Tamandua tetradactyla: one gene and its partner. The protein of the gene in region 2 interacts with the protein of the main gene of each other region in a biochemical or structural test. Links are inferred from orthologs where the notes say so. Each region holds a gene or a part of one and is shown on either strand. Other genes may lie near its edges. The genes, in order: USF1 and GTF2I.

What was found.
Region 1: the proteins of GTF2I (region 2) and USF1 form a complex in vitro, tested with the Homo sapiens proteins (2 studies listed by BioGRID). The link is inferred for Tamandua tetradactyla from reciprocal best matches to the Homo sapiens genes GTF2I and USF1.

Annotation. Positions count from the first base shown.
Region 1 is NC_135330.1:14,190,961-14,198,077, forward strand, and holds the start of USF1 (upstream stimulatory factor 1), read right to left. Parts: upstream 3,242-7,117; 5' UTR 3,107-3,241; intron 2,134-3,106; exon of another isoform or gene 1,379-2,133; intron 840-1,378; 5' UTR 755-839; coding exon 747-754; intron 353-746; coding exon 303-352; intron 155-302; coding exon 39-154; intron 1-38. Other genes in the region: ARHGAP30 (rho GTPase-activating protein 30), read right to left, coding at 4,962-6,590, 6,683-6,948.
Region 2 is NC_135349.1:12,201,439-12,209,081, reverse strand, and holds the start of GTF2I (general transcription factor II-I), read right to left. Parts: upstream 3,240-7,643; 5' UTR 2,805-3,239; coding exon 2,777-2,804; intron 1,656-2,776; coding exon 1,552-1,655; intron 1-1,551. UniProt on the Homo sapiens protein: Interacts with the basal transcription machinery by coordinating the formation of a multiprotein complex at the C-FOS promoter, and linking specific signal responsive activator complexes.

The DNA of each region.
Region 1 (7,117 bases), on a different chromosome or scaffold from region 2:
CCAGTTCACACCTGCAGCCACCTGGCCCCCTCCCTTACCTGGCCCCCATTCTCAGTTCGGAAGACGTACTTGACGTTGGGGTCAGGGAAGGTGGCAGCTGACTGGATGCTGGCAATAGCCACACTGGTTGGGTCCTCCCCAGTTGCCACTGCACCTGAATTAAAAGAGCAAAAGAAAGGTTTATGAGCTACTGCCCTTATCCCTCTGTTCCACATGCATGTCATTTAGAAGGAGGAGAGTGCACAAGAGATGGGCCACGGGGGAGGCCATGATATGCTCTCAAATCTGTTGTTACCACTCACCTTCCTGAATCTGCACTGTCCCCTCTTCTGTTTCAGCTGTTTTCTGCTGCCTATTTGTGAATAAGGGACAAAAGGAGGGATGAGGAAAGAAATGAATGGGAAGCTCACTGATCCAGTAACATATGGCTCCCAAACTCAGTGGCATTCCCAACAGATGCTAGATTAGATTGGAATAACAACAGCTAATACTTACTGAGTGTTTAATATGGACCCAGGCACTGAGCTAAGCACTTAACATGCACTATCTCATTTAATACTAGGAACACCCCTATGAGGTAGGCAGCACTACCTCCATTTTATACACGGAGAAACCAAATCACACAACTAGAAGTGATGGAGCTGGAACCTGAATCCAGGTGTGACTCCAGAGCAAATTCTCTTAGCCATATTACCATTCTCCCAAGCCACCTCCCTCCTGTACCAGTCTACTTCTTCTTGACTCACCCCTTCATCTCTCTGTGAGGGGGCACATCCGAGGACCTGGTCCTTCTCTTGAGGTCTTCGTATCTCCTGCCTCACAGCCCTGTGTGCTAAGTCCTGGGAGAAATCAGGGAGTTTGCAATGAGTCTAGGAAACTGAAAAGCACCCCTAGTTCTAGAACCTGGGCCCCATGAAAACACAGCCAAGAATATAATCCAATCAGTCTCTGCCATTTTGATACCTAGAATTGGGCTAAAGTGGGTGAAAAAGCCACTCTAAAAACGATGTGCTTTGCCCTCTATTATCACTCCAACTCTATCTGGAGAGGGGATAATTGGACTGGAAGACTGAGAAATAACATATCTGATTGGATTATTATAGTCATATGATCTGATATGACAGCAGCTTCATGGGGATTATGAAGACCCATGTTAGACCAACACCAGCAAAGACCACAGGGCCATGACACTGATGCTTCTTCCAGCTTCTCAGCCACATTCTGAATACCAAGAAATCTCTATTCTTGATTCTATGGAGGGGAAAACCAAAGCCCACTGCCACTGCAAACACATCGCTAACCACAAAGACCAGACTTGGCCCTCAGGCCCTATTTTGTTGACAGGGCTCTCGTTTGGGGATGTCCAGATTTATGTCACCTGTTAGAGACCCTAAAGCCCAAGTGCAGCCTCTTTAAGCCCCTGTGGTTTTATTCACCAAGGCTTCCTGCCAAACACATTTGCTAACATGTTGCCATGACAACTCCAAATCAACTGAGCCTCAATAAGAATGAGAAAATTCCAGGCTCAGGGTTCTGAAGGAGAAGAGACAGTGGGGGAAGAATCCATTCACAAGTTGTTTTAGCTTGCCAAGGCTACCATAACAAATACCACACACTGGTTGGCTTAAACAACAGGAATTTATTGTCTCACAGATTTGGAGCCTAAAAGTCTAAACTCAAGGTGTTGGCAGGATCAGGCTTTCTCTGAAGTCTGGAGCATCCTGGTGATAGTTTGCTGGTAATCCTTAACTCAGTCTCTGCCTCTGTCACGTGGCCATCTATCTCCTTCTGTCTCCTACTACTGACTGTGGCCAAACTTCCTCTGCTTATGAGGGTTCCAGTCATAATGGATAAGGCCCACCCTGATTCAATTTGGCCTCACCATAACTAATAACATCTTCGAATATCCTACTTACAAATGAGTTCACATCCACAGAACCAGGGATTAGGATTTGAACATCTCTTTGTGGGGGACATGATTCAGTCTATAACATAAGATGCCTGCCTTTGGACCTTGACAGTCAGAGGACAGGAAGAACAAAGGGTTGAGCAGACAGATACCTCCAGAGAGAATTAGCATCGTTTTACAAAGCAATAAAATAATCCCAACACAAAACAGGTAAGATTTTTATAAACTCTCTCTCCCTATGCTCCCCCAAACCCCAAACCCTAAACCCTTCCCTAGCCAAGGAAAATCTTCATTCTTGGATAAGCCTTGGAAAGCCCGTTCCAAAGAAAGTATTTTTTAAAAAAAGGAACTGAAAGTGAAACTGCCAGAGGAAGTAACACTGCAAGGAGATTCCAGTCCCTAAGGGGAAGTAGCAGTAGTGTTTCAGGACCACCTGCCTCTCCATCCTAAAAGCAAGGAAGAAATGCCCCTCCCGAGGCTTGCAGCGCTGACTGCAGAAGGAGGTAAAGAAAGAGAGAGCAAGGAATAGGGAGGCATCCCTATTATCCACAGCTGTCAGCCAGGTGTAGCACCTGAGGACACCGAGCAACGGGGTCAGGCTACTTAGTTGAATCTCAGTTGGACATCAGAAAAGTATTTATTGAGCCTTAGGGATGTGCGACACGGAAATTGGGATAGGATGTTGTAGCCTGCACACTCAGGCGAGGAGGGACCAGCCAGAGCCCTTGCTAAATCTGGACACAAAAGGGGAAAAAAAATGAAGTCCCGAAAGAAGACAGACGCCTAGACTTTGCCTGGGAATGCGACGTCTCCCTGCAGGCCCACCAACCGGCAGGCGCCGACGGAGCAGGGCACTAAGCCGGGAGCCCGCGCCTTGACCCCGCCAGCCCCGCCGCGCTCAGCCCGCGGTAGAGGGAGCAAAGGGCGCCAGCGGTTCGGGGACCCTCGGTGGCCCGGCGCCCCCTGCCGCGATCGACGGCCGAGGACCGCAGGAGGGCGGGGGCGAGCGCGCGCGGGGCGGGGAACGAGTTCGGCCCACTAAGGGGGTAGGAGATAAAGAATCAGGCGCGGCCCCCTCCCCCAAAACAAAGGCTCCCTCCACAGGAGTTCCCTAACCTAAAAAAACTAAAACAAATTAAAGCTGCTCAGCTCTGCCGGTTCATCACTCTCCAGACTCGCATCCGGTCCTGCACTCACCGGCCAAAGCCGCCTCAGCCGCTGCTTTTCCCGGACGGTGTTCTCCCCACCCCAGACCCGGGTAGCTCCATAGACAGCTGCTCATGCGCGTTCCCAACCCGCGGCCATATTGGTGAGGGGCGGAAGTGTCTCTCTCGACCCGCCCTGCCTGCTTATAGCCATGGAGCCGCCCCACTTCCGTTAGCCCCATCTTGATGCAGGTTGAGGAATGCCGAGGTGGTGGGGTATTGCTGGAGCGGAGGAGAACCAACTGCTGCTGTCCCAGTATAATGACAGTGGAGTTCCTAGTGGCTTTCAGCAGGAGAGCAGGAAGCGGAGAAAAATGACTAACTTGAACTGCCATTTTTGTGCTGGGCAGGGCTTTTTTAATCCCAGGAGAAAAGGGGTTGAGGGAGCCCAGGTTAACTCGGAAGGGACGTCAGCTGGAGGCGCCATCTTTAATAAGGGCTATGTGGGAGGCCATCTTGGACCGGGACATCTCTTTTAAGTGTTTTCTAGTGGAATTTAGGAAAGCTGTCGGATGTACTCCTTGCCATTAGCATCAACCGCACCTCACCCACAGACCCCAATCTTCGGTGTCTGTGGGAGGGATGTTAATTCCTATTCTCCCCAGTCAGGATCTACCCTTAATGGATTTGTAGTAATGTGGTACAATGAAAAGAACAGGCTGTGGGGCTCCACAACCCTGGGCCTCAAACCCACCCCCCGCCTGCCACGTCTTACCTCTGAGATCCTTGGCTGGCCTTTTAACTTAAGTGAGCCTTGGCCCCTTGCTCCCTTAAATGTAGGTATCAGTACTAACCTTACAGAATTGTTACATGAGTTAAATAAAATGAAGGACGTAGACTCTATGCACATAGAAGACCTATCCCAGTTTCTAGCACATATTGAAAATTATGTAAATGTCAGTTTCTCTTCCCCCTTTCCTGACCACTGTGAACCCAGCTCTAGTTTCTAGCCACAGATCCCCATGACAACAACTAAGGAAGAACACCCAAACAATAAAAAGAGATGTTTGCCCAAACATGAAAAGATGATACCTACAACCCAAGACTTTAATAAGCATAATGAAATACCACACTATTTATGTGTAAAAATACAACTTTTATTCCGAAACTTTGCATCTTACTAGAGTGAGACCTGTAGCCTCAGCCTGTTTGGAAAAGCAGTCCTAGAACCTGAGTGACTTCTATCCTGAGATAGGAGGAGGCTATTCCAAAGGGAAAAGGAGAGGCCAGAGAGATAGCTACAGGACCCTTCTTCCCAAAGGTGACTGAAGGCAGAGGGTGGTGGGGGGACCAGGAAGGGGTCAGTCCCCCCAACAAATTTTGAGGCATCCAAAGAGCTTCCTGACACATTCCTGGCAATCTGAAGCTCAGAAGGTCAGAATGTATCCAAGGATCCAATAACAGTCCAGGGCTGGGCATCTCTAGAAGTGTTTGTGTGAGGTAGGCTCTGACCTGGCCTTTTCTTCTCCCTTCCACCCTGGGCTTCCATAAAGGACATCACAGCCTCAGAGGAGGGCAGGAACATGGTTGAAATTCCCCTTCTACTCTTTACTTTGAGAAATCTCTATCTTAAGCTCTCAGCCCACCCTCTGTTCTCTTTGTCAATGACTGCTCTCTCTAGAAACAAGATTTCTTAGGAATCTCCTAAGAGATAAGTGCTTTCTATCTGAGACAAGCTCAGGTAAATCAATCAAGGCTGCAGCCTCCCAGAGTCAAAAAGAGAAGCTGGAGAGCCAAAGCCTATAGAGTTGGGTACTACAGCTGCTCAGGCTGCAGAAGAGACAGCTGTTCAGGGGGCCTGGAGATTCAAAACAACTGACTGGTCCCCTTTACCCAGTGCTTTGGTCCTAATCACAGTCCCTCACTTTTCCAGGGTCAGCATGTGTTTCGAATGCATACGATCGGCGCTGGGGGGGCATAAGGGAGTCAGGGGGCTGGAGTTCTGTGGGGGGCAGACTAAGTCGACTCCGGGGTCCAGATCCTTCTGTACCTTCAGGTTGGAGCTCCAGGCAGCTAAGGGGCCGAGGAGAATGGGCTGGGGTCATGCTACAGGGAAAGGTTCTGGGAATGAAGCTATAGTCCCCGCCCCCAGTATAGGTCTGGGTCCGCTGAACTCCCTGAGCCTCAGTTCTTTGGCGGTCCCGGGCCAGGGCCACAGCAGCATCAAAGGAAAGACTACCCCCATTCCTCCAGGAGGAGCGGGAGGCTCGAGACCCCCAAACTCTTTCCCCAGGAGTCCCATCAAGCCGGCCAGGCCTTGGACATGGGTTTGCAGGTGCCACATGGATCTTGCTACACAGTGCACTGGGTTTCTTGGCAAACTGTGGTTTGGGGGGCACCACAGGCACAGAGCGGACCTGTTGGACCTGAACGAGGGTGGAAGCCAGACGCATGCCCACACCACTGACTGAGTCAAGGGTACAGAGGCACAGATTGCAGCTGTCTGAACTGGGATGCCCCTCAGGTTCCATCTCTTCTGGCCGGGGTGGTTGTGGAGTTGCCTGTTCCCCCTCAGAGGCCTGAGCGTTGCCCTCTTTGTTACTGTCGACCTCCAAGCACTCTATGACTGACCCTTCAGGGAAAGAACCCTTTTCTATATGGTCACCTTCAGCTCTCTGGTCTCCCTCAGCTTCCCCATCTCCACTCTCCCGTTCCTTGCTCACTACCCCTGCTCCTCCTCCAGCTGCGTCTTCTGGGCTTCTGTCTTCACCATTTCCTTGATCTTCTATTGCCTCTTGACCCCCCTTCCCTCTCTGTCCTTTGACCTCATCCTCCCTGCCTCCCTCAGCCTCTTGTTCATGTATAACTTCCCAGCTCTCCTCAGCAACTTGGTGTTCCTGGGTCCCATGTTCTGGGTCCTGTTCAACTTCTGCCTGGACTTCCCCTCCTCCATCAGTCTCTTCCTCTCTCTCATTCTCTCTTTCCTTCTCCTTGTCTTTACCATGCTCCTCTCCTGATTCTTCCACACCTTTAGCCTCATTCTCAGCATCCATCTGACTTTTGGACTTCTCTCCCTTGGCCTCTGTCTCTTCCCCACTCCCATCTCTCAAACTGACCATCATGTCTTGGTCTCCCTTAGCCTCTGCTCCTTCCTCACCAGCCACTCCAGCCCCTTCCTCAGTCTGTGGACATCCCTCAGCCTCCTCCCTAACATCCCATCTGCTTCCAGGCTCAGACTCCTTGTCCTCCCCAACTTCCGTACACACCTGCTCTCCCTCAACCTGTCCTGGAGACCATCTTCTGCACCCTGCTGCCTCTTCTTCCAGATTCCCTGGACCCTCCCAGTTTGAGGATTTGGGTCCCATAAGGGGATCTAGGTCATCGTAGGCACTCAGGAAGACTTCCTCCCCACCTTCCTCCTCTGCATCAGGCCTGGGGCTAGCCAGGTCCAGGGAACAGCAGCTGGGAGCCAGAACAAACTGTCCCTCATCCAGAGACAGATCATCAAGGGGTGGTTCCACAGAGAACTCCTCCACCTGTAGACATGGTGTTGTAGCTCAGGACTGGGCGACCCTATCCACCCTCCAGATCCCATACCACCCCAAAACCCAGCACACCTCCATCTTACCTGAGGCCCAATTCCCAGGAGCTCCTCCAGGTAGCCCATCCCAGGATCGTCCTCCACAGGAGAGAAAGCTGCTCCTGCCGCTCCTGCCTTGGTCACCTCCCCATCCTCCACCCCCACCCACTCAGGATCTGAGCTGCTTGAGTCCTCTAGGAAGGAGAAGGAATCCTGCACCTCCTGGGACAGGGAGTCTTCCAGGGCAGGGGCCACTTCTGCTTGGCCAGAGTCAGCCAGGGAACCAGGGGCTGAACTTGCCTCTGACTTCTCATCTGTTGAGAGAGAGGTAGTCCCAGAAATCCAAAGGGCCAGGCCAGCCTTGACCCTTTCCACATGAGTCTTTCTAGCACTGATAGAGTATAGGCCCAGTGCTCCCAGCACAGACATTCCGCATAGCTGATCCTCTTAGATCAATATCCCTAACTCTTGGCTTGTAGCCTC
Region 2 (7,643 bases):
TGTGAGCTTAAATGCTGTGTGTTTCTATCTCTATGTCCAGAAAAACATCATAAACAAACTTACTACCATCATCATAGTAAAACAAATATGAAACTACAGCAAGAAAATAAGACTATTTCACTATAATTATGTATAAGGTAAGTTTTTTTTAAAGAACTAACACTACATAATTTAGTAAAAAGTGGCAGAGTAAGGACAATTGTGGACGCATTCTTTAAAAGCAGAATAAAATAGGAAATATATATAAAATAGGAATTATGTACTTGTGCCCCAAAATTCTGATCCTTTTCTTTATAAAGATATAGTAAATAAAACACTGTAATGTACAAACTCCTATTCTCAGTAAACATCAAATATTACATATAATTCAAAGTTAACACTTATAAAATAAGTGATTGCTTAAGATATCAGCAAATTAAAAATTGAAATTAAATGTAAAATACTTAAACATAGATAAGTTAAGAACATTCTCAAACAATTGTAATAAAATGACTGACTTTCTGACAAGCAGTGGGGACAACCAAAGCAATAGGTTGAGCCTCCAATCTTGGGGTTCATTCATTTGAAACTTAACCAGCAAAGGATAAGCTAAGTCTACTTAAAATTAGGCCTAATAATCACCCCCAAGAGAACCTCTTTTGTTGCTCAGATGTGGCCTCTCTCTCTCAGCCAACACAACAAGCAAACTCACTGCCCTCCCCATGTCTACATGGGACATGACTCCCAGGGGTGTGGACCTTCCTGGCAATGTGGGACAGAAATCCTAGAATGAGCTGGGACTCAGCATCAAGGGAGGGAGAAAACCTTCTCCACCAAAAGGGGGAAAAGTGAAATGAGACAAAATAAAGTGTGAATGGCTGAGAGATTCCAAAGAGTTGAGAGGTTATCCCAGAAGTTATTCTTATGCATTAAATAGATATCACCTTTTTAGTTAAGGTGTAATGGAAAGGCTGGAGGGAACTGCCTGAAAATGCAAAGCTGTGTTCCAGTAGCCATGTTTCTTGAAGATGATTGTATAATGATATAGCTTTCACAATGTGACTGTGTGATTGTGAAAACTTTGTCTGATGCTCCTTTTATCTACCTTATCGACAGATGAGTAAAACATACGGATTGAAAATAAATAAATAATAGGGGAAACAAATGTAAAAATAAATTTAGTAGATTGAAATGCTAGTGATCAATGAAAGGAAGGATATGGTATGTATGAATTTTTTGGTTTTCTTTTTATTTCTTTTTCTGAATTGATGCAAATGTTCTAAGAAATGATTATGATGATGAATATAAGAATATGTGATGATATTGTGAGTTATGTATTATATAACAAAAATGGAATGATCATATGGTAAGAATGTTTGTATGTGGTTATGCTTCATAAATAAATTTAAAAATTAAAAAAAAAGATAGACTTCAATCTACGTATTTTCCAAGAAAAAAAAAAAAGAATTCTTATTAAAACAGCAAAACAAATATAAAATTATGTTTTAAGCACAAGCCCAGTCCTATCCAACTATGGAATGAACATCTTATATAATTGTAAGGCTGTCTCACCATTGACTCAAGAGCAGACATGAGGAACGTCACCACCATCCTGCTCTCCGAAGACTCCTCATCTTCAACAGGCAGGGTAGACATTGCTACTTGGGCCATGATCCCTATGCAAGATAAGTAATAAGTGAATGGTAGAATCCACAGTATTCCTCTAAAATCAAGTCTAGCTCTAACAGTCTTCTATATATTACCTAATTTACAGTTTCCTTATGTAAGAGCAAAAATAAGGCTCAAAAACTAAGTATTTAATTGCTCAAGATTCTTACCCTCTAAGGTAGAGGATCTGTCCCCTAACTTTCCATATCTAGTATTATTTCCATGAAATCAGATCAGTACTGCCCCTCAAAATGAATCCAAATGCACATATAGGACCAGTTCATATTTTACCCAATTAAGTGGAAGAAAAGGTGATGCACTTTACAATCCGGTGATGGTCTAGCATATCTTAACAGAGGAAACAAACGCAAAGTCCCCTTTCTCCAGGGTACACGCTGGGAGAATAGCTAAGGTAGATAAAGAGAATTTATCTACCAAGTAAAGAACATTTCTCCTGTTCTTTCTTTCCAGGAAGGAAATAGCTTTGCAGGGCATCAAATAACATCTAAGATCCCTTTATAATATAGCATTTTATTCTCCTTAGAAAACATTTTCCAATACTTTGGTATCAGCAAGCAGACTTGGATAAATTTCAAACACGATGAAAATATACCACATAAAACCACTAACTGGCAAAAATTCAAAGCAAAATTTTTAGAAATTCTTTATATACTCAAAAAAAGTTATTTTCTCATGAATAAAATACAAAGTAAACACCTGTTAAAAAATTATCCCACTCAATTTATCTGGATGAATCCTACCTGCTAGCAAAATAAAAATATGAAAGGATGATTAAAAAATTAAGGATGAATAGGAATTCTAAAAACATATCTATGTATATAAATTAACTTACTGTTATCCCCTTAGCTAAAGCCACAATATTCCAGAGAACACAAACAAGCCATGAAGAGCTATGAGCATGCAAACTGTTATGATTAAATATTTAAGTAAATATTTTCTCTATTATAAAGATAACTGCCTAGGTTCCACTCTTTTCTTTTGTATAAATGTCTAAATAAATTCATACTGAAAAGTGGCTTAGGCAAAAAGGACAGCAAAGGCGTATTAATTTCCAATAAACAGAACGATCCCTTAAGATTATACTCTACCATTATCTCTTAAAACTCACAGTATTTTTTCATAATCACTTTTCCCATGATTCCCAAGGGAGAAGAAAAGGAGATGTGTTCTCATTTTACAAATGCAATGACTTCTAAAGGATATGTAGCCACCGCCAGAGCTAGAACACAAAGATGATTTTTCTGCCAATTGTTGCTTTCAATTCTTCTCACCTTAAGTTGCCATGATATTATGATGTCATTCACAAGCAATCTGTGGTAAGAAGTGGGAGAGAAGGTCCACACTAACAGACCATGGGCATACCACAGATGATTAGAGGTCACTGTGAGAACTTTTCAGTATTTTTGATGGAAAGAATCCTAAGAAGGACCAACTCCAGTCAGGCTTAATGAGGAAGGGTGCATTTTGCTTGCGGCTTTCTGCTCTCTGGAAATGGATGCACTTATATTCATTACAAGAGATGTATGGAGAACATATTTACAAATATTTATATAAATATGTATAGATATGGCTGTTTCTACCCTCCTCTTCTTTTCTCAAAAAGGACTGACAAAGGGCAGACCAAGCCAGGCTGAGCATGCAGCACCTGCAGCAAGAGGCATGATGCTTACTCCTTGCATGGAATCAAAGCCAGGAGAGCCAGGTTGAGTGTTATCAGGTCACTCATCAGCCACTTGACCTCAGTGGGCTATATATGGTCAGGCTCCTCCTCTGTAAACTCCTCTGTAAATGGAAACTAATTTTGCCGGTTCCTTTTACCTCTGATCTTTTATGAATCCCTTCAATTTAAAGTCAAAAGAAGAATTGGACAGAAAAAAAACAATTTTTTTTTAATATACCTATCATACCAGTACTCTTCCAACTGTCTAATTCAATACTCACAACAACCCTATAGGGGAGACCTTTTATTTATATTATGAGGACACTGAGAGGTGGAGGAGCTTGCCTCTGGTCTGTCTCTCAACTGTTTTACTTTCTTTTAGAAAAGCAAAATGAAATATACATAAGGACTCAAAAAGGGAAAAGATGTTCCATAAGTTACTTTAGCAGGATCCATGTATAGTCTTTTTCAGGTATTCCCTAAAAGGTGTTGTGTGTGTTATTAGAAATAAACAGCAAAAATCACTAAAATGGAAGAACCTTGAAAACATACCCAGTGAAACAAGTAATATACATAAAGACAAATTGTATATTATCATCTATAGGAGATGACTAGAAATAAGGGGAGAAGGGAGGAGTAAAAATAAAAAGTATAAAATAAATTTTAAAATGGTGTTTTGAAATTAAAAAAAAAAAATCACCAAGATATGACTTGTCATATTACACCATGTCTAAACTCAGAGGTTTCTTAATAAAAGAGGCCATGAAACCAAAAATTTAGAGCATTAAATGGGATGATTAGATCCAAATTTACACAAAATGAAATTGGGAGTTTGTACATCCAAACCTTGTCAGTATGAGTTCTTTGAAACAGAAAGGAAAATTACCAAAATGATCTTGTATTAGAGCTGAAGGGATACAGACTGTGCAACAGGACTGAATATAAAAACTCAGAAATGGACAGCACAATACTACCTAACTATAATACAATTACATTAAAACACTGAATGAAGCTGCATGTGAGAATGGTAGATGGAGGAGGGTTGGGAGCATAAATGAAATCAGAAAGAAAGATAGACGTTAAAGATTGAGATGGTATAATCTAGGAATGCCTAGAGTGTATAATAATAGTGACCAAATGTACAAATTTTAAAAATGTTTTTGCATGAGGAAGAACAAAGGAATGTCATTACTGCAGGGTGCTGAAAATAGATGCTAATTAATATTTTAAAATCTCACCTTATGTGTGAGACAAAAGCAAAAAATGTTTAATTGGTATAAAATTTATATTTTGACCAGTGCATTTCCTAATATAACTTATGTAGACACAGCTTGATTGAACACTATAAGTACTTGGAATCTCAGGTAGGACATGAGATTTTGTTGGTTTGTCCAGAGTGATGCCCCGATGAATCCCAAAGTGATCCAATCAGTGAGTGGAAAAGTATTTGCAAAGTCCCCTTCAGGGAATGGTGAGAACGGGGACCAATTCAACTTCCCCAAGTTGAATTCTTGGTATTCTCACAAGCGGTGTGGACAACCAAAGCTATAGGCTGAGCCTCCAGTCTTGGGGTTTGTTTATATGAAACTTAACCCCACACAGGATAGGTCAAGTCTACTTAAAATTTAGGCCTAAGAGTCACCCCCAAGAGAGCCTCTTTTGTTGCTCAGATGTGGCCTCTCTCTCCAGCCAACACAACAAGCAAACTCACCACCCTCCCCCTGTCTACGTGGGACATGATTCCAGGGGTGTGGACCTTCCTGGCAACATTGGAGAGAAATCCTAGAATGAGCTGAGTGAGACTCAGCATCAAAGGATTGAGAAAACCTTCTCGACCAAAAGGAGGAAGAGTGAAATGAGACAAAGTGTCAATGGCTGAGAGATTACAAACAGAGTGGAGAGGTTATCCTGGAGCTTATTCTTACACATTAAGTAGATATCATCTTATTATTCAAGATGTAATGGAGAGCAGCGGACCCGCCCGCCCTCCTCTCCCCTTTTGTCCACCGGCCCGCCGCGCGGCGCCGACGCCCCGCAGCAGCGGACCCGCCCGCCCTCCTCTCCCCTCTTCCGCCTTCACCGGCTCCTCCGCCACCAGCCTCGACAGCCTTGCCACCCTCACCTTTCCTCCTCCAGAACAGCTACTGGGGGAGTGAGATAATACAGAGCAGCTCCCAGAGCCACGAGGGAGATCAAAGGAACGGCGTACCCCATCCTGGAACGGCTGACTATCTGGGAGAACCAGCTCCGGTGAGATCACCAAGGGGCACGGGCTTTCCTGGGTGGGACGGCAAGCGACCGGAGTCCCTCCCTTCCACCTTCCCAGGCCAGCTGATAGAATTGGACAGGCGGTCCCCTTAGGCCGAGGCGGCTGGTGCCCCCACCACGCGAGGCCCCCCGGACCAACTGAGAGAGCTGGGTCGGAAATCCCCAGACTGCGGAGAACAGTGACCGGGGGATCCCTTCCAAACACGTGACTCCCCTGTCCGGCTGGGAACAGTGCACTCTCCCAGGCTGCGACAGCTGGCGCCCTCCCGCCATGCTTGGCGCCCCGGGCCGACTAGCTAATTCGGCCGGACGCTCTCCCGTGCTGCGGCGGCTGGCGACCCTCCCCGCATTCGGAACCCCAGGCCGGCTGGCACTCTTCCAAGACGCTTCGGCTGCCGAACCTCCCCTACAGCGAGAATTTTCCAGAGTTAAAGAACCCACAGCAACTTTCACTGGTGGAACCCGTAGACAAACGTATGCCACGAGCGCCACCTACTGGGCAGGATAAGAAAAACAGAACCCAGAGATTGCACAGAAAAATCTTTCAACCTGTGGGGTCGAACACCCAGGGAAATCTGACTAAATGCCCAGACGCCAGCAGAAGATAACGGATCACGCTCAGAAAATTGAACATATGGCCCAGTCAAACGAACAAACCAATAGTTCAAATGAGATACAGGAGCTGAAACAACTAATGCTGAATATACGAACAGAAATGGAAAACCTCTTCAAAAACGAAATCAATAAATTGAGGGAGGACATGAAGAAGACATGGGCTGAACATAAAGAAGAAATAGAAAAACTGAAAAAACAAATCACAGAACTTATGGAAGTGAAGGATAAAGTAGAAAAGATGGAAAAAACAATGGATACCTACAATGACAGATTTAAAGAGACAGAAGATAGAATTAGTGATTTGGAGGATGAAACATCTGAATTCCAAAAAGAAACAGAAACTATCCAGAAAAGAATGGAAAAATTTGAACAAGGTATCAGGGAACTCAAGGACAATGTGAACCGTACAAATATACGTGTAGTGGGTGTCCCAGAAGGAGAAGAGAAGGGAAAAGGAGGAGAAAAACTAATGGAAGAAATTATCACTGAAAATTTCCCAACTCTTATGAAAGACCTAAAATTACGGATCCAAGAAGTGCAGCGCACCCTAAAGAGATTAGACACAAATAGGCGTTCCCCAAGACACTTACTAGTTAGAATGTCAGAGGTCAAAGAGAAAGAGAGGATCTTGAAAGCAGCAAGAGAAAAACAATCTGTCACATACAAGGGAAACCCAATAAGACTATGTGTAGATTTCTCAGCAGAAACCACGGAAGCTATAAGACAGTGGGATGATATATTTAAGTTACTAAAAGAGAAAAACCGCCAGCCAAGACTCCTATATCCAGCAAAATTGTCCTTCAAAAATGAGGGAGAAATTAAAACATTCTCAGACAAAAAGTCACTGAGAGAATTTGTGACCAAGAGACCAGCTCTGCAAGAAATACTAAAGGAAGCACTAGAGTCAGAACCGAAAAGACAGAAGAGAGAGACATGGAGAAAAGTGTAGAAAGAAGGAAAGTCAGATATGATATATATAATACAAAAGGCAAAATGGTAGAGGAAAATATTATCCAAACAGTAATAACTCTAAATGTTAATGGACTGAATTCCCCAATCAAAAGACATAGACTGGCAGAATGGATTAAAAAACAGGATCCTTCTATATGCTGTCTACAGGAAACACATCTTAGACCCAAAGATAAACATAGGTTGAAAGTGAAAGGTTGGGAAAAGATATTTCATGCAAATAACAACCAGAAAAGAGCAGGAGTGGCTATACTAATATCCAACAAATTAGACTTCAAATGTAAAACAGTTAAAAGAGACAAAGAAGGACACTATATACTATTAAAAGGAACAATTAAGCAAGAAGACATAACAATCATAAATATTTACGCACCGAACCAGAATGCCCCAAAATACGTGAGGAATACACTGCAAACACTGAAAAGGGAAATAGACACATATACCATAATAGTTGGAGACTTCA